Lonchura striata: one gene and its partner. The main gene of each other region encodes a partner of the protein of the gene in region 2 in a complex. Links are inferred from orthologs where the notes say so. Each region holds a gene or a part of one and is shown on either strand. Other genes may lie near its edges.

What was found.
Region 1: NUP205 (region 2) and NUP93 share a complex: the UniProt entries of both Homo sapiens proteins name them as parts of the nuclear pore complex. The link is inferred for Lonchura striata from reciprocal best matches to the Homo sapiens genes NUP205 and NUP93.

The regions. Positions count from the first base shown.
Region 1 is NC_134615.1:15,612,937-15,622,183, reverse strand, and holds the start of NUP93 (nuclear pore complex protein Nup93), read right to left. Parts: upstream 3,968-9,247; 5' UTR 3,862-3,967; intron 3,563-3,861; exon of another isoform or gene 3,440-3,562; intron 1-3,439. Other genes in the region: metallothionein-2, read right to left, coding at 8,265-8,359, 8,894-8,959, 9,049-9,079. UniProt on the Homo sapiens protein: Plays a role in the nuclear pore complex (NPC) assembly and/or maintenance. May anchor nucleoporins, but not NUP153 and TPR, to the NPC. During renal development, regulates podocyte migration and proliferation through SMAD4 signaling.
Region 2 is NC_134607.1:56,498,650-56,507,429, forward strand, and holds the start of NUP205 (nuclear pore complex protein Nup205), read right to left. Parts: upstream 4,201-8,780; 5' UTR 4,180-4,200; coding exon 4,152-4,179; intron 1,161-4,151; coding exon 1,018-1,160; intron 4-1,017; coding exon 1-3. UniProt on the Homo sapiens protein: Plays a role in the nuclear pore complex (NPC) assembly and/or maintenance. May anchor NUP62 and other nucleoporins, but not NUP153 and TPR, to the NPC.

The DNA of each region.
Region 1 (9,247 bases), on a different chromosome or scaffold from region 2:
GACCGGATCTGTTTGAACGGATTAGTGTGCCACAGAGATGGAGTGGAACAGGGAGGAGGAGGGTGGAAATAAGCAGCTTCGTGCCCTGCAATGCAGTACAGAACAACTTCCCAGTGTTTACTTGCAATAACTCAGATGCACCCCTGCCAGGCACAGCCTCCTGGCAGACACTGACTAGAACAGACACACTCCTGTACATTCAAATATGAGATCCTCCAGGAGCAGTGACTGTAAGAACAACACAGACATCAGCTTGATTTGCTCCGATCTGGTCCACTTGCTCTTTTCATTAGCAAGATAAAAAGCTGGGAGTGTAAGAAGCACCAGCTTCTCAGACTGCTGAAACCAAAAGCACGAAAAGTCAGTCCTACAGAACTGCACTCAACCTGCACATTTTACCTGCAGACACCCTGTTAATACCATGTAAGGTCTGTCACATAAGTTTGCCTGCATAGTACAACTGCAACAACTCTGTGAGATTGAACCCAATTCAGCAAATACGGAACAAACTGGTTATTTTGGAGCAAGTTAAAGTACCTGTGATCATAACCAAGCACTGGAAGCAACATCTCAAACTCAGAGAGTCAACACTAAACAGCTTTTTATAAGTGACAGAATTCAAACATTTAGACTGAAGATTCATATATTCGTAATAGTGCAAACAACTTTGTCTCCACCCTGACAGAATTTACTGCATTTCAAGTCTGCAGTCTGACTCTTCATGCTGCTGTGCAAGATGGAAACTGCTTCCACAGCAACAGCAGATTTTCATGTCTGGCTGGGGAAGGAGCAACAACCAACGTCTAACAGAAAGAAAATACTTCAGAAATTAAATTAACTTCAGTGAAACCAGATTGACCTTGGGCAAAAAGCCAGGACTGAAAGAGCTCTTCTGTAAAACAACTTTGATGACGTATCAATAGAAGTTGCTGCATTAGACCACGATTCCATTAAAGCCCAGTTTAATTTCCTGAACATTTAAAGCCACACTTAAGCACTATATATTGTACAAACTCACTAAGCTTAAGCCACAAAGAAAACAGAACAGATGACAGGTTTCTTAAGTCTATTCAGACTGATTATAGTTGATTATTTCTTACCTAAAAACTCCTCAAGAGCACTACAGTGCTATCTTAGGAAGAAAACTCTAGCTATTCTACTCCAAATACAGCCACGATGAACATTTTACTGTACTTGATTCAGAAATACAAAAGCTGAAATACTCCAGTGCACGTCTAAGTGTTCACTGTACTTCACACATTGACAGGATTTGTGTCAACTAACCAATTAACTTTGAGAAACAGTAAAAAAATTAGGTTTTCCCAGTGCTCTAGGAAAAAGAAAGGAAGATGTCACAGGAGAAGGAAAACCTCACTCACTACATTCAGAGTGCTGACAAAGCAAGAGCTCCACAAGTTGCAGAAAGATTATTCAAAATGGGAAAGAAAAAGGAAAAAATCCAGTGTTGGCTTCTCAAAGAGGCTCCACCCTCAAAGTGCTCAAGAGACCCAGTCTGATGAGTCAGGATCAGCTTCTTGTGGAAAGAAAACACAAGAGCACAAGTAGTAAGACCAAGCCAGCAGTGTTCTGCTTCCTACAGCCAATATCTGAGGTGAAAAGTGCTTTTTCAACAGGCTCCAAGCCTGGGATGCTACAGAGAATGGAGCAGCTTCTGTCTATTAAGCTAAACATGAATAAGTAAAAGGTCCATTCTGCAGGCCTGGGGAATTCTGTCTGAGCAGCAGCAATAATACCCAGCTCTTGCATGGCACGTGGCATAAGCAGACATCCAGACATTTCAGAGAAGTCAGCAACATAATCTCCATGTTACAGACAGAGGAAGTGATTAAGAAACACTGAGATGATAATCAAAGAGCAGGTGGACAATTGTACAACCCAAATCTGCTGCACATTTTCAGCACACCATCCTCTTGTCCATAAAACACAATAATGATTATCAAACCTAACAGAGGGAAAGCTTCCATACCCTAACTACACTAAACCCAGATAAATCACAATAGGCCACTTTAAAAATATCTAAAAGCTTCAAGCTTTATTTGGCACCCCATCTGGTACAACAGCCTCTTCCCCCTGCAACAAAAGGCAGATGCAGGAAAATCCTGAATAGATCACACAACAACCTTTGAAACAATACTATTGTTTCTTCTACCACTGATCCATTAATGCTTCTCTGACTCCTATAAAAAGGCTTTCAGTCCTGCATATTTTCTTCTTCATCTCATTTGTAGGTAGATATGCAAAAGTCCAATCTTCTTATGGTCCCAGAGAACCCTTACAGTAGGTATGTTGAACAAAAATTTTTTTTTCAAAGTTTTAAAGGCAGTTACACTGGGTTACTTGCACTGTAAGAAAGGACAAGGAAGGGCACACAATGCTTCTCTACAGTGTTCATTATTTAAAGTGGACCTAAAGAGTAGGCATTTGAAGTGATTTCTACCAAAATACACTAGCACACATTTGTCAACACCCTTTCATCTGCCATCAATTCCTCATAAAGGTCTTAAGTTCCCATTGCCCTGAATAACTGACTCAGCTGGCAGTTTTGCTATATTACCACGTTCCCTCTTTTCCAAACACTTAGCCTTTATTTTAAGCACCCAACTCAGCAGGAACTTGCACAGGGTGGCAAACTGATCCTCATTAGACAGAGCATTCAGGATTTTGAGCTCCTTAAATGAAAACCCATATCCTCCCCTCAATGAACTTCCTGTCATTGAATTTCCTGAATTTCTGCACCACAGAAACTTTATGGATTTAGATGACAGAATCCCATGCTTTCTTCCAAGCAATTTTAAGCTTTTTCTGTCAGTTTCCCCAAGGAGTAGGAAAATTTTTTATGACACAACATAACTGAAATAGCACTAAAGCATATAGGAACTGGTATTTCTTTCTCACTATCATCTTAACTCTCCATGCCATAACTACTGTTCCCAGACCAACATGACCAAATTGCAGAAGAGAAGCAGCCCTTCTTTGCACCTGGACTTTAATTCAAGCCCTTCCACTCACTGTTCATAAACTCTTCCAGTATCTGAAGGGGTCCTACAGCAAAACCAGAGAGGGACTCTTTGTCAGAACTGTAGTGATGGACAAGGACTAATAAACATTAAAAGAGGGGAAATTTAGGAAGACATTCTTTACTGTGAGGGTGGTGAGGCACTGGCACACGTTGCCCTGGGACTGTCCCACCTCTGCCAGTGTTCATCATGCCAGGTTGGATAATGCCTTGACCAGCCTGGTCCAGCAGAAAGTGTCTCTGCCCATGGTAGCGGGAGGTGGAACTATATAAGCTTTGAAGTCCCTTCCAAACCCTCTAAGAATTCCTAGGAACCAACCTGCAAACCCACTGGGTGGGAGAGAACAAGCCCCACGCACAGAACTCGAAACAGACACCAAACCACACACATCATACACAAACCCGTTCTCCGGAAACCTTCCCAGACAACCAACTTCTGCTCCCTTAAGCACCAACGCTGCACTTGGGTTAAACACCAAACCACCCTTCTACAGCCGGGCTTGGCACTGCCGACCCGCACAAAAGCTCGGAAGAACAGAGCCCTCCTCGCGCATCCACAGCGGCCCCGCTGCCTCAGCGCGGGTTACTGACGGCAGCGACCCCGGGGAGCCCCGGCACGGCCCGCGAGCAGGCCTGGAGCGCTCCCAGCCAGCCTCCCGCCGCAGCAGCGGCCTGCACGGGCCGGAGAGGAAGCCATGGGCGGGGGGCAGCAGCCGGGAGCTGCGGGTGCGGGGGAAGCAGGCAGCGAGCACCGCAGGCGGGGAAGAAGCGGGGGAGAGAAGCGGAGGACGCCGAACCCCGGCCCGCCCGCGCGGCGCCCTCACCTCGCCGCGCTCCGCGCCGCCCGCCGCGCCCGCGCCGCGCGCCTCCATTGGCTGCCCGCTCGCCCTTTCCCGCGTTCCCATTGGCCGAGCCGCCGGGCGTCCCGGCTTCCCGTGCTCCTATTGGCCCAGCCGCCGCTCTCCGCAGCGCGCCCGTTCCCGCTCCCTCGCGAGAACAACTTGATTGAGGCGCTCGGAGGGGGCGCGGACCGAATGGGGGGGCGGCTGCCTCCGGACACCGCGGGTTCGAGGCTGCCTTCCGCCTCCTCGCGCTGCGTGCGCCGCGCCGAAATCAGTGAAATAAGAGATATACAGACAGAAATATCCTCTGGGACTGTTTCTCTATTCCCCCTTTTCCTTCTTAGTAAGCGCTGACTCTTGCTGGCAAACCCTGTCTGTGAGCTGATTCTGTGAGCTGATTCTGTGGGAGGTAAAATGAGGATAACGAATTCATCCCCATTTTGCCTCCCATGGCCAAATACACCAGCAAACAAACTCGCAGCCAGCAGGTACTCACACCACCACCTGTATAATGGTGCCCTGAGGATGTATAGGGATTCGCTGTGTTTGGTCCCATCTTGGACATACACATGATGGCCCTAAAACAGATATTGCCAATGACACAGGATTTGTTGGGCAAAATCTGGGAACTGGGAATTTCATGGACCCACAAGGCGACAGCCTGCTTGTGTAAGAGACAGCCTGGATTTTGCTGCTGTTCTGAAACATCACCCATCAAACCTTCAAAGCTGAACAGATTTCCCCATTAACACTGTCTCTATTTCCAAATTTTCCCATGTAAAAAGAAATTCCCAGCAGGCCAGAGGCAGCTCTGGCACCGGCTGTAACTACTCCTCCTAATTGCCAAGTGCGTGCAGGGGGTCAGGGTACATTTCTGCTCGTCACTTCAGTTTGAGGGGAGCACTTGTCCCCGAGAGGATGCCCTGGTGGAATGGATGCTCTGGTAGTAAAGATGCCTTGGTGGGATGGTTGTCCTGGTGTGATGGGTGTACTGATGGGATAGGCGCCCTGGTAGGGTGGCTGTGCCACCTCAGCTCTCCCTGAGCCCTTCCAGGCTCCCGGGGCATCTTTCCAGAGCGAGGAGAGTCCTGGTCCGCCCGGAGACCGGCGCTGGTGCCCTCCGGGGCGGGACGGGGGAACAGCCGTCCGGAGGGGCCGGGAAAGGAGAGACAGAGGCAGGGACCGAGGGAGGCGGGGACCGGCAGGGAGCCGGGGCGGCGGCGGGGCTGCGGGCAGGCAGGTGGCAGCAGATCCCTGCGGAAGGGCTCGGTGGCGCCCGGAGCGGAGCCGCTCGGGAGAGCCGTCCCTGGGGAGGGACCCGGGTCCTCTGCACGGGGGGCAAGGGGTGCTGCCCCCTCTGTGGGTGCCCGTCCCTCTACACTGGGCGCACAGGGCGCCTTTGCCTTGCCCAGGATGCGCAGGGTGCTGTCCCCTCTACATCAGATGCGTGTACCCTCCATCCTGGGTGCCCATCCTATGAGCATAGCATCTCATCTCTGTGCCAGGGGTTTTAAACAGGATATTAGTCAAAACACATCAGTGAAAGTGCTGTCAAGCGCTGGAACAGGCTGCCCAGGAAAGTAGTGGAGTCACCACCCCTGGAGCGATTTAAAAAAACAATGTAGATGTGTCACTTGGCTTAGGGGTGGGCTTGGCAGCGCTGGGGTAGCAGCTGGACTTGATGACCTTAGAGGGGTTTTCCAACCTTTCCAACAATTCTATGACTGTATTTTCCTCTCGCACTGGGTGCATTTTCCCTCTGCCCTGAGGGCAGGGTGTTATTTCCCCTGTGCACACGTGCCTGTCGCCTCTGCGCCAGGTGTGTTTGCTCTGTGCGCTGGGTGCATGTCCCCGCTGCGCACAGCGCTTGTCCCCTCGGCACAGGGCGATGTCCCCGCGGCACAGAGGTTCCTGTCATGCGTGCGCAGGGTGCTCATCTGCTCTGCACACAGTGCATCGCTCCTCTGCACAGAGCGCACATCCCTTCTGCACAGGGCACGTGTCCCTCCTGCACATGGTGCGTCTCAGCGCCACGCAGGGTCACGGACACCCATCACCCCCCTGGGATTCACACACAGCTAGAAAAAGCGGAACTGAATGCGGTCCCATGGGCAGCTGCAGGGCTGTTCGTCTGGGAGTGCACCCAGGACCCCCTTGCCCTGGCTCCCGTGGGTGCCCAGAAGGGATCGTGGTCACCTCAAACCACCTCAGCAGACTGAGCTGGACTTTTTTTGGCGGGGCTCAATAAAGTACATCAGCGTCTTCGTGGATCAAGAAAGGCTCCCCTCACCCTCCCACTATACAGAGCTGTCCAGAGGCTGAGAGCACTTCCTGCTTCATCAACAAGTACTTTTTTTTTTTTTTTTTTTTAATAGAAAATACTCTTGAGGGGACCAGAAAGCCCTCACCCACCTCACTGAGAGCAGCTACAGGCAAGGGCAGGCACTGGATACATCCCTGACCAGCTCATTCCACTGGTCCTGTGGCTTTCCTTGCCCCAAATCCATCCTGGGGAGGCTGGAAAAGGCACCAAGGCTGGGGGTCTCTGCCAGACGGGCGCGCAGGCAGAACCAGGAGCAGGCAGGGCAGGCTGGCAGCGGCAGGGTGCAGAAATGTGTGCCCACATCCTACCCTGGCACGCTGCTGGGAACCGGGGAGCGGTTGATGCCTGGGGCGCTTCCTGTGCGGGGAAACCCCATCCGCGCCCGGCTTTGTTTCTGGTGCAGGATGCGGGCGCCTGCCCCGGGGGCTCAGTCTGCAGCCCCTCCGCTACAGTGGCCGGGGTCGCAGCCCTGTTTCATATGGCTCCAGCAGCAGAGCCATGCCAGTCTTCTTTTCCAGCAAAGCGTCTTCCCATGGGATTGTTTTTAAATATTTAGGGCAGGGCAGACCCTTAAAACCCATTTCCATCACTACACCTCTGTTGCAGCAAGCAGTGCTGGGAGGCTGCTGAGGCAAAGACACACTGATGCAATAAGGCAACACATTTAAAAGGCAAATGGGTGTTGAGCTAAGTGCTGCTTTTCTCACTGGCCAAGTTGGGTGCTGAGTGGTCTGAGGAGCCATGTGCTGAAGCTGGGCAGACTTTGGGGAAAGGGTGAGCCTGGATCATCCTGGATGCCTGAAACATCCCTGGGAACTGGTATTGCCATGCTCCCACTGTGCAGACACCCCACCTTGTGTCACCCAGCCTAACAGATAGGACTATGTGGGTACCCAAGGGACAAATTTTCCTGGGTTTTAAATTTATCTTGTCCGTGGTGCCTTGTCACCAAGTGCTGCAGGAGATTTTCGTGCCAGGCAGAGCTGTCCTATTGCCTGAAGAGACACAAAATGGGTGAGGGCAGCATGGCTGGGAACTTACATCTATGGTGGGGCACACCCAGGAGACATGTATGGGCAGGCATCTGCCTTAAAAGTGGCTGCTCCATTTGGCAGAGACTTTCGGAAGCAAAACACTTAGTATGCATCTTCCCACCGCCCCCCCTCCCCCATTCCAGCAGCCACCCGAAATCCAGGCAGCTAAGCACTGCATTCACAGCTATTGTTACCTGCCCTCCTGCATCTGGAAGACTTTGCAGCTTTAAGCAAGGTGCTTCCCAAGAACGAGCTGGAAAAAAGTGCTCGGAAGTTTTGCCTACAGCAGGAGCCAAGCAGTGTAGCTGTAGGTGTTCGGCATGGGGAGACTGCAGGGAAAGTGTCCTTTTGGGGATGGATCTGCTCTGCAATGGATTGGGGCTTGCAAAGCTTTTGAGGAGGGAAGCTTTGTCCCCACTAGAATTTGTCCAAATGCTCTCCAGCAGCAGCTCAGGGCAGGCATCTTGCCAGCACAGATCACCCTCCCACCCACCACACTTGCTCCTACAAAATCTTTCACCCAAAGGAAGCCCCTAACATAGTGCAGAGGCACCTGCCATGTAGCCAAGGAAAGGCTGGAGGGGACTAGAGACCCTCCTTCCACTGTTTGCCCACACCTCTGGGTGTGTCACCTGTCCTCCCTGGGAGACCAGCACCTCAAAGATGCCCACATCAGCCCCACATGTAGGATGAGATCCACCCCTGTGAAGCTCCTTTCCTCCCTCAAGGAAGGTGCAGAGCCCACTTAGGGAAGGACACAGGAGTGTTTCTGAGCAGCCCTCTCCCACCCTGCAGCGACAATTCGACAATTCCCATACAGGTGTCCCAAGCGGCAAAAATGCTCAGCCTCCAACCCATCCCCACAGCAGCACTCGTACCTCCAGAAAAACTCCTTTATTTCCATCCAGTTTCACCACTGGTACAGAAAATACAAAACAAGAAAAACAAAAACAAAAACAAGGCTTTTTTGTGCCCCCCACCCCCCATCCCTGAAGCGTGCCGACTATTTACAGGCAGAGGTGAGCGGCTCAGTGGCAGCAGCTGCACTTGCTGCTGGTCGGCTCCTTGCACACGCAGCCCTTGGCACAGTTGCTGCAGCTTGCGGGGCAGCAGGAGCAGCAACCTGGGGAGGACACAAGAGTTAGGAGGTAGGTGGAAGGGACTGGGGTTCTGTGAGGCAGGGGGACCCGATGGAAAGTGGGAAACAACTCCTCTGCATGAGCAGGGCTGATGATCCCAGTGGGTTGGAGCTCTCCATGAGGGTCCTACACAGTGGTGGCAGCCCCCCAGAGGGGGTGTGTTGCAATGGGCCGGGGAAAAGGGAAGGATCCTATGAGGGTTCTACAGGACAAGAGAGGGAGTGATGGGGTCTCCATACACGGTCTGACAGGCAAGAGGGGTTGCCTACAGGGTAAGAGTTGGGAGGTCCCCATTGGGTCCTACAGGGCAAGAAAGAGCTCCCTTGTGGAACAGGAAGGTGTCCATGGAGTCCCACAGGGCAAGGAGGGATTTCCCTAAGGAGCAGCGAGGTGCCCAGGGAGTCTCACAGCATAAGGCTCTCAATGGAGCAGAGAGGTGCCCATGGATGTTCCACAGGGCAGTGGCAGCTCCCTCCAAAAACAAGGCCGGGTCTCCCCGCCCTGAGCCCCCCACTCACTCTTGCGGCAGCTCCGGCAGCGGCAGTTCTTGCACTTGCAGGACCCGGCGCAGGAGCAGGAGTCACCTGGAGAGCGAGGGCAGGAGAGCGGGATCAGCCAGGAGTCAGGCAGCCGGAGTTAGGCGGGATCAGCCGGGACGGGATGGGACACTTACCGGCGGCACACGTGCAGTCCTGGGGGTCCATGGCTCGGCTCGGCTCGGCTCAGTTCAATCTAGCTCGGCTCCGTTCGGCTCGGTCCGGCGGGGCTGACAGCGGTGCAGAGCGGCCCCGGTCGCCCGCTATTTATGGGGCAGGACACGGGGCGGTGCTGGCGCTGCGCACGGTGCGGCGGGGCCGCGGCACCGGGCCGTG
Region 2 (8,780 bases):
TGGCTGCAAGAGAAAAAAGCATCGGAAGTTATTCCAAATGGCAAGATCAAATACTGAATAAAGCTTTACACATTTATCCTTCCTCACAAATACAGTTCTGTCAGGTTAGGTTGTTATCATAAAAACAAAGGCAGTGCTTTTAAAAAGAGACAGCATCCTAAAAATGCTTTATGCTTGGACAGCAGTGGTCTCTTTGCGAGAATATAAAAAAATAATCTTATACAATCAGTGCTGACATTTAGTTTACTCAAAATACTAGTTTGAAAGTAAACTTTGATACAATCCTCAGCAGGAATTGGTATCAACTCAGTGAAAGACATTGGGTTGTTGATCAGAACTGTTGTGTTACTCACATCTATTTTCTACATCATTCTTTTTCCAGATGTTAAAATATACAGATGAAACTCTACAGCTGATTGTTAAATTTTCCAACCTTTCAATTTTAAAATGCCATCTACCATTGGAGAAATTACACCACTGAAAGAAGACTTATTTCTAGTTACTACCTTATGATCCACCAGCCAAAAAACAAAGAGTTTTTTCATATTATCTGGCATTCTGAACAAGACACATTCTGTATTTTTTAAATTCATTTGTTCACCCGTTTTGCATGTTTGTTAATCTGACTGAAACATGAGCAAAACCAAAGACAAAATAGCTTTGCACTTTACATCAGACACACAAGAGTAACAAAAAAAGTTAATACATGACTGATGGATCATCAGATAATTTTACTATTCCTTTCAAAATAGCACTCAAATAATGAGAGAAAAAAAAACATCATAGATAAAATTATCCTGTAGAAGATACAATATGTATGTATTATTTTTTCCCACTTAATACTATTTGTATTCTTACAGCAGAACAAGACTGGTATAAAACATCTGTGTTATGTAATGTAAAAATGTCACATGAAAAGAATGGATAGGGTCTAAAATGGCATGTAAGACAACAGTAAAGGACTGAGTAAATCATCAATTCTCCAGCTCATCCCAAAAGAGAGCATTAGTCCAGTACCGGATTTCTGAAGAGAGAAATGAAGTCAGATTTGTGCTTCTTTAAAACTTGATCGAGACGATGAACAGCTTCAGGTTGCCTTTTCCAAATGGCATTCATAACAGTCTGCCATATGTCCTTATATGGACCCCACAAGCTTGCAGCTAAAAGAAGAAATAAAACAATGTGTTTGAAATACAGAAAGGAAGAAAACAAATTATTTCTATATTGTTTTCAATAAGTAAACTCTTTTTTATCTTACTGTTACTCTTGGCACGTCAGTATACTCTTACACCCATCAAGAAAAGCATATTTTCCTTTCCTAAGGCACAAAAACAAAAAACCCAACAATGGTCTGATATAAAACTTAAATGCTTTTAGGGAAGTAAAGAACCAAAAAAGATTATGTACACACCTAAATTCTGGTGCTGAAAGTCATCTTACAAGAATACTTAAAATACAGGTATTAGGTTGGAAAAGGCCTGTAAGGGTATTGAGTTTAAGCCCTAATCTGACACTGCCAAGTCCTCCACTAAACCATGTCCCCAAGTGCCACATCTACATGTCATTTAAATCCCTCCAGGACTGTGACCCTACCACTTCTGCAGAACACTCCAGAAAAGGACTACCTTCACTGTTAGCCAAACAATCCATCAAATCAAAATATACAATACTATTGCATTACAGCAGATGGCTAAAGAAAAATTGTTTCAACCATTTCCAAAGATTACTACTTGAGTGAGCAAGTTGGGAAAACCAAAAAGCGGTTTAAGCAAAAGCAAGCTATTTAAATCACCCTCATTGCTCCTACATTGTCAGAGATGAACCAGTGTGTACTGAGCTAGTCATATATGGAAGGTGTGTGAAATCCTGCCTCACTAATCAGAGAAAAACATTCTCCATTGAGAGAGCACAAACTCCTTTGATTACTCCAACTAAAATTGATATCCCTCCCAACAATCAAAATGCCAATCTCCTAAGCTTCAAAGTACTTCTAGAGTGTCAGATCAAAGACTGCCATACTTAAATGGTGAAGCCATTCATGCTGAGTAGCTATATGGGAATTTACAAATGACTGAGAGAACACATTTAGCAGTGCCAGAATGGCTGTGTCAGGCCAACCAATAAAAAAAGGATAAATTTGCCTTTACCGAGCTTCAGTGTTTTAACTTGTACAGTTAGAAATAGCCTAGAAATAGCTACTATTGGATGCATAATTTCATGCTCAGCTGTAACTGGCTGTCCCACACAACTTCAGAGTCCAGATTTATTTCCACTTGAAATTGTCTTTTCACTCTTACTACATTACCAAATAAAAATAAACACCAGCAGCAAACCACAGTGCCTACCAAAAGCTGTTCAACTACTTCCCTGGCCCATTTGTTTACTTTTGTCCCTACCACGTAATTGCTTTGCACCAGCCTAAACACACGTACCGTAGGGAATTAGAATAAATTAAGGATCTAACTTTGTTAACCAAAATCTAATCCAAAAAGGAGTTTATTTTCACCAGGATCACATCTACAACCCAGTTTGCTCTGCAATGGCACAAAGATGGATTATTGCAGAGAAAGGAGCAGGCACCTGGAATAGGAAGAGGTAGGACTTCAGCAACCATGCTGACTTTTTCCCACTAAAGCTGCTCTATTATTACTAGTTTTAGAAAGGCAGACTGTTCCATTGGGGGCAGCAAGGAAAGATAAGGTGAGTTGCTTCTCTTGGCAACAGTAGCAGCTGATGCTTATGTGCCTGAACACCTTGCCAAGGGATAGACTCAACCATTATATATCTGCTCCCACAAACAATACACTCTAACCTAAGGCAAAGTCCTTACTAGTTCTAGTGCCATATCTCCTTTTAATTTCTCTTGTATTTCCTGGAAAAAACTCCTTCTTCCCCTAGTGTTTTTTAATTATAAGGCTATGGACTCTCTTGCTGTGCAATTCATAAAATAGTTTCATTTGAACTACTCCGATTTTCACTTCAACAAAGCGATAGTTTTTCATTAAGAGTCTTTGCTTTATTACTGCTTTTCTGTAAGGCTACAGGGATGCAATCCATTCAGTGAGATTAAAAAATCTCTGTAAAATTTGTTCCTTGCTTGCCACAGGAATTGATGTTTTAATTCTATTAGCTAGAATCAGTAATAAATATTAACTGTCACTATTGAAATACAAAACCTTATTTACAGACCTTCTGGCCTATATTGCAGTGATAACTGTTTTTCACAGGGTCTCCATTCTCCTTCTGTTAACCTAATGAAGCTCAACAAGAGTAAATGCATTATCTTGCACCCAACAGAGAATCACTGCACAGGCTGGGGACCAAGGGAACTTCTAGAGAGCAGCTTTACCCAAGTGTCAAATACCCAAATGTCCTGGCAGACAGGAAGCTGACCAGTCAGCAGCACAGGCTGCCTACAGGCTCCAAGCTGTGTTAACAGCTGTAGCCAGCAGATGCAAGTAAGTGATTATTTAGGCATCTCGGAGTCCTCCACTCACATACTGTGTCTAATATTTGGCTCCTCAGAGCTAGACACTGAAATAGTGAGCCAGAGAACAGGATGAATGAGAAGCTGAAAGAAGTGACCTGGTTCAGTCTTACAGAAGGAAGACTAAAGAGGGATAGGGGCTTTGTTTTCTCTAACTACTCAATGCCACTATACGTGGAAAGCAGGGCATAATTCTGGATATACTCCTCTTTTCCCTGTTAAACCACACAGCATTAGGAGATGAGCCTAATGCCGAAGTGATGCGCAACCACGTGCACACCGAGTTACCACAGTCCCCTCTAAACAAGGAGGCCTCGGCTGCCGGCCGTGACTTCCCGCCAGGACCAGCCAGGCGCGGCGGCAGCTCTGAGCGCGGAGCTCCGTCGCCGGGCAGCTCTGCGCGGCCGAGCCCGGCTACCGCCGCACGGGAGGCCGCTCTCCCAGCGCCTGCCCGCACCCCGCAAACCGCACCGGGAGCCCCGCAGCGCTGCCCCGCTGCCCGCCCGGGCCTCGCCTCGCCGCTTGGCCGCGCCCCGCTGCCCCGGGCGGCCGCCCCGTTCCGCGGGCGCGGAGGAGAGGCGCAGGACCGGCAGCGGCCGGGAAGCGGGACGGCCGCGGGAGAGGCGGAGGAGAAGCCGCGGCCCCGCGCTCAGATTGTTCTTACCCGAATTTACCGCCAACGGAGCCGCCATCTTCGGCAGTGGGCGGGGAGGCGCCGGCGCCCGAGGAAGGCCCGGGCGGGCAGGGCGTGGCTCGGCTCGGCTCGGCTCGGCCCGGCCCGGCCCGGGCTGGCCGCCGCGGGACAGCGCAGCTGGGCACGGCCACAGCGCGGCCGCTCCCGCGGCGGGGCTCCGGCAGGAGCAGCGGCTCCGGCGGCGGCGGGGCAGCCGCGCGCCCGGGCTGATGGGAGCTGTAGTTAATGCAGGTGAATGGATCACCGCGCCCGGCGGCTGCGGGAGAGGGAGAGCGCCGGCATTCTGCACTCCTGCCGTCGCTCCTCTCATGTAAATAGCACAGCGATTCCGTGCCCTTCTTTCCCTTTTCATGCCACGCTCAAGTGAGTCTTTCCTTTCAAGCACTGCCCTATAAGCCGTTTTCACTGAATATGGCTAAATACCTGAATTCAGACACTGCACTAGGAGATACATTTATTAGAATATTTTATTTTTTTAACTGAAAAAAAAAAAAAAATCACCAGGACGATTCCAGCTTGTCTGGTTTCTGATTGAAGTCTTAAAAAATACAGACAATAAATAACTTTTCAATGCGAACTAGGGTTTACAATTTTGTATAGGGGAGGAAAAACCAAAAAACTGCCAGCTCTGATAGGAGTTATCCTGTAAAGAAAGCTACAAAGTATGTGCAAGAAAAAAAAAATTGCAAGAAAGAAAACAGTACCAGGAACTAAGAAAAGAAAATAAAAAGTGTGTTTATACACTTATGTATCTGGAGCTGAGGAACAAATATCAGTATCTTAAAAGTAGAGTGTGTCTGAAGTGAATTTACCATTCTTTGTCCCAGTAGTAATCACCATTCTTACAGAAATTCCCCCCTGTATTACCTTTAGGATAAAAAAAAAATCTCCAAAAGTACTCAATTTCAGTTCCAATAGTTTCCCCTCTTGAACTTTATTAAACCAGTATTTCATGGTTGCAAAACTATGTCAAATTAACTAGACCCATGGGAAACTGGCAAAATAACCATCTTTGCTTCTGTAGATCTCCCCTATAATGGGATGGCAGAAGGGGTAATAGAGAGAGAGTAGTGCTCCTGGGGTGAGAGTGAATTGGCAAGACAGCTGTAAGAAAAAGGAGACAGAAAACAGAGAAATTGTTTCACTTAGTTGGAAGAGGAGAGAGAAATTAACATTTTAGAAAAGAGGGGAATTTCAGAGTTCAATAGATGAAAGTGTTCTCAGTAATTTGGCCTAATTTGTTGGTTTAGTCAAAGGTCCCATATTTCTTTGAGATTTATCTTATCCTAGTCTTAGCCATGAACAGACTAGACCTATAATGATGAGAATGACAGAGAATTGTTCATTTCATTCTAGGAAATGAAGAAAGCCAGGCATAAGGCCAAAGTAGAAAATAAGTGATTATTCCCCTAGCGCTGAACTAAAGCAGCCTTGGTACCTGTATCCTCTCCTGTATCATTCCCTGTGAAGCTGTAGTTCTGCTCCTCTGCTGCCCATGTGCCACCCAAGACCCATGACTATGAAATGCAGGTATCAGATAAACTTGGAGATGCATGTGCTGATCACCTGGCCACAGCAAATGCAATGGATAGCTTGAGGTTTTGCTTCAGTCTTTCCTTCCACAGTGATTCTAATTTTGATCTTTTTCCTTTATGCATTCCCTGATTTTCACTAAGTTTATAAGCCTTCTAGCCTTTGATCAGATTAGGTTGGAATTGACTCAGAAATTGCAACAGGTTCAAAAGTTACTGAAAAAGTTTGGCTTACAGTGTGATTTCCTAGGCTGTGTTTCCTTAAGAAACATGATGTTTTAAAGAGGAGAGAGAAATAAATAATTGATTAAAAAAAAAAAAATCCTTTCCCAGGCATTAAGAGCTGTCATATTTCTTTTGGCATTCAGATACAGCCAGATTGCACCCACTTTTTTTTGAACTCTGTTGAAGGAAAAAGAAACCTTTCTAACCACTGCATATTTAGTATTTTAAATTTCCAAATAATTCTTTCCTCTCCTTGCCAATGGACCTAGGGTCACATAGCAACAAGAAAAAAAAAAAAAAAAAAAAAAGAAGACAGCCTGAAATAGTGGATGGCAAGGGGTAGGTCATTGGGCAGCTGAACTGCAAAAGAAAAAATACCACGTTTGGCTCCAGCTGCACAGCATTTATTATATTCTTTCTCTGTCAGCAATGTGATATTTTAATGCAAAATAGTTGTGACAGTTCAGCTCCTAGTATGGATGAAGTAAGAGAGGCATCTAGATACACCATACCATACATTCTGCACATATTTTTATTGGCATAACTGCATCCATCCATCCATGCTTTAATGAGTAGGGAAGTCCATGAATAGTAATTCTTGGTTATTCTTGCTTTATTTGCTGTCCTTTAATTTAGGTTCCCATTGTTTACCCAGGATCACTGGCTGGTTTGGTAGTCTATTTTTCACAAGTCACTATAGGGAAAGACTACCTCATTCCTCTCTCTAACAATAGCTCTCAGCAAGTTCTGCAACACAGATGGGTTCAAGAAGGGGCACCGATGTCTTTAATTCTTAATTACTAGACAGAAATCTGTGAAGTATCAAAGGTAGGCTGACACTAAATACCTGGGATGGATATTAATTCCCCTGGATTCCAGGGAAAGGAGGTTCCAAATTGCCTGTAGGGTAGCAAATTCTGTTTCTGTGGTGAGAGATCTACACTAATTTCTATAGGTGGAAATAACTCTTAGTAGTAATTAAAATGAACCACACAGTGGGAATCTACTCTTTGTAACTTGTAGGTGGTTTGTGATGTGCTACAGGTGTAACATTCTTAATTTTGATAGTACTTTATTTAGTGGTTCATAGTAAAATCATACATCAAGATATGAAGATAACGATGATGATATAATTTACTGTATTTACGTGTTATTATTACCAGGAAGAATAATTATTAGCCAAAAAAAGAGTATTGTTCAAATGCCTCAGAGGCCCTACTTAATTTCCTACCTTTAATTTTCAGTGTCATTTATGATCACATCTTTCACATTTCCATCACATGATGGAGAAAAATGAAGAAAGGCTTTTCAGCATTGCAACTAAAACTGAAAAGTTGCCTTGTAGAAGTGCATCTACATAAATAGACCAGTCCTTGCATTGCGAAATATGCCTCTTTCCCAAAAAGCCAGAAACATTTCTGGCTTCTGGTTAGATCATACGACTTCCTGGAGCTCTTGTTTTGACTGATACTAACTCTGTGCATCTCAGCTTACTGTTCTGTAAAAATGGGTATAGCATCTCACAGCAGGCCTGGAATGCTGATGGAATGGATCTTCAGCCTGGCCCCATCATGTGAACAGAGGAAAAATAACGTATTTTTGTTTAATGTTAGTTGACGGAGTAAAAAACCCTGAATTGTCTTATGTGCTGGCTAAATTTCCTCGAAACTTCTTAGCTGGCTATAATCCTGTCTTTGCTGCAAAAAGCATGCTTTATACATGGAGATAGTTATCTTGGCATCAAATCTTAGAAAAAGGTCTGAGACATTTCCCTGCAGCATTTCTCAACAAAATAATTTTTGTAATTTCTCTGTTTTCCATCCTAGATATTTCTAGTGTCACCATGGTACCTAAGCTCATCAAAGAAACTGTGTGAGGCTGTCACTAGCTCGTGTAAGTGGTTTATCTAGTCAAAAGCAACAATGAACTAAAAGTTCTCAAAGTTATACAAACACCTTCCTTGGGGTCAGGGAGCAGGAGACGAACAACAGCAAGTGCTGCCCTTCCTGTGCAGGTGAAGACAATTAGTGACTATTGGCATCTGACCATAAATTAATGCCTTGATAAATGATATCCTGCTTGTCAGTTGGGTCTGTATGATCCTTGTTCAGGCTTCAGAGGTAAAGTCAAAATAGTGTTCTCAGCTCTGTGATGTATTGTGAGTTATTTTTTCCCTAACTCCTGCTTTGGGGCCCTTAAAGCTATCTGTTTTGTTTCTCTTTCTTCTCTATTCTGGAAAGAAGAACAGTCTTTCTGTTATTTGTCCATTCAGCTACTGAGGGCAATGAGGCAGTTATTAGCCCAAAAGGTGATCTGACAAATGTAACGATGTAGCTGCTAGTAATTGTCAACGAGAGGTGCAGAAACCTACAACCAAGGAAATGCTGGAAAAACAAAGCATAAGCAAAGTGAAGATATTTGATATAGTAAATAGAAGTCTTGGCACATCAACTGCCTTATGGATATTCATTCTGTTCAGGGATTTACATATCAGATTTAAGGACGGTTGATGTTTTTTTACGTTGCCAATTTTGCAAGTTTAGGCTTTATCCTGTAGTTTACTCTGAGCACTTTCTAAAGCATGTTCTATATATTCTGCCGCTGACTTATATACTTCTTTCATTCTTTTGGGTTCCCATCCAAGCATGGGTGAGTTGAAATAAGTGCAAAGCTACAAGAGTATAATGAGTTCGCTTGGGCAACCCTGAAGATGTGTAAAATTGCACAAAAATCTCTGCACTATTAATACAAAACAGAGGGTTTCTTTAACTAGGTATAATGCAAGAAATGGGAGAGGTAGTCAGTTTAAGCTAAATTGAAATAAATAATTACTTTATACTTA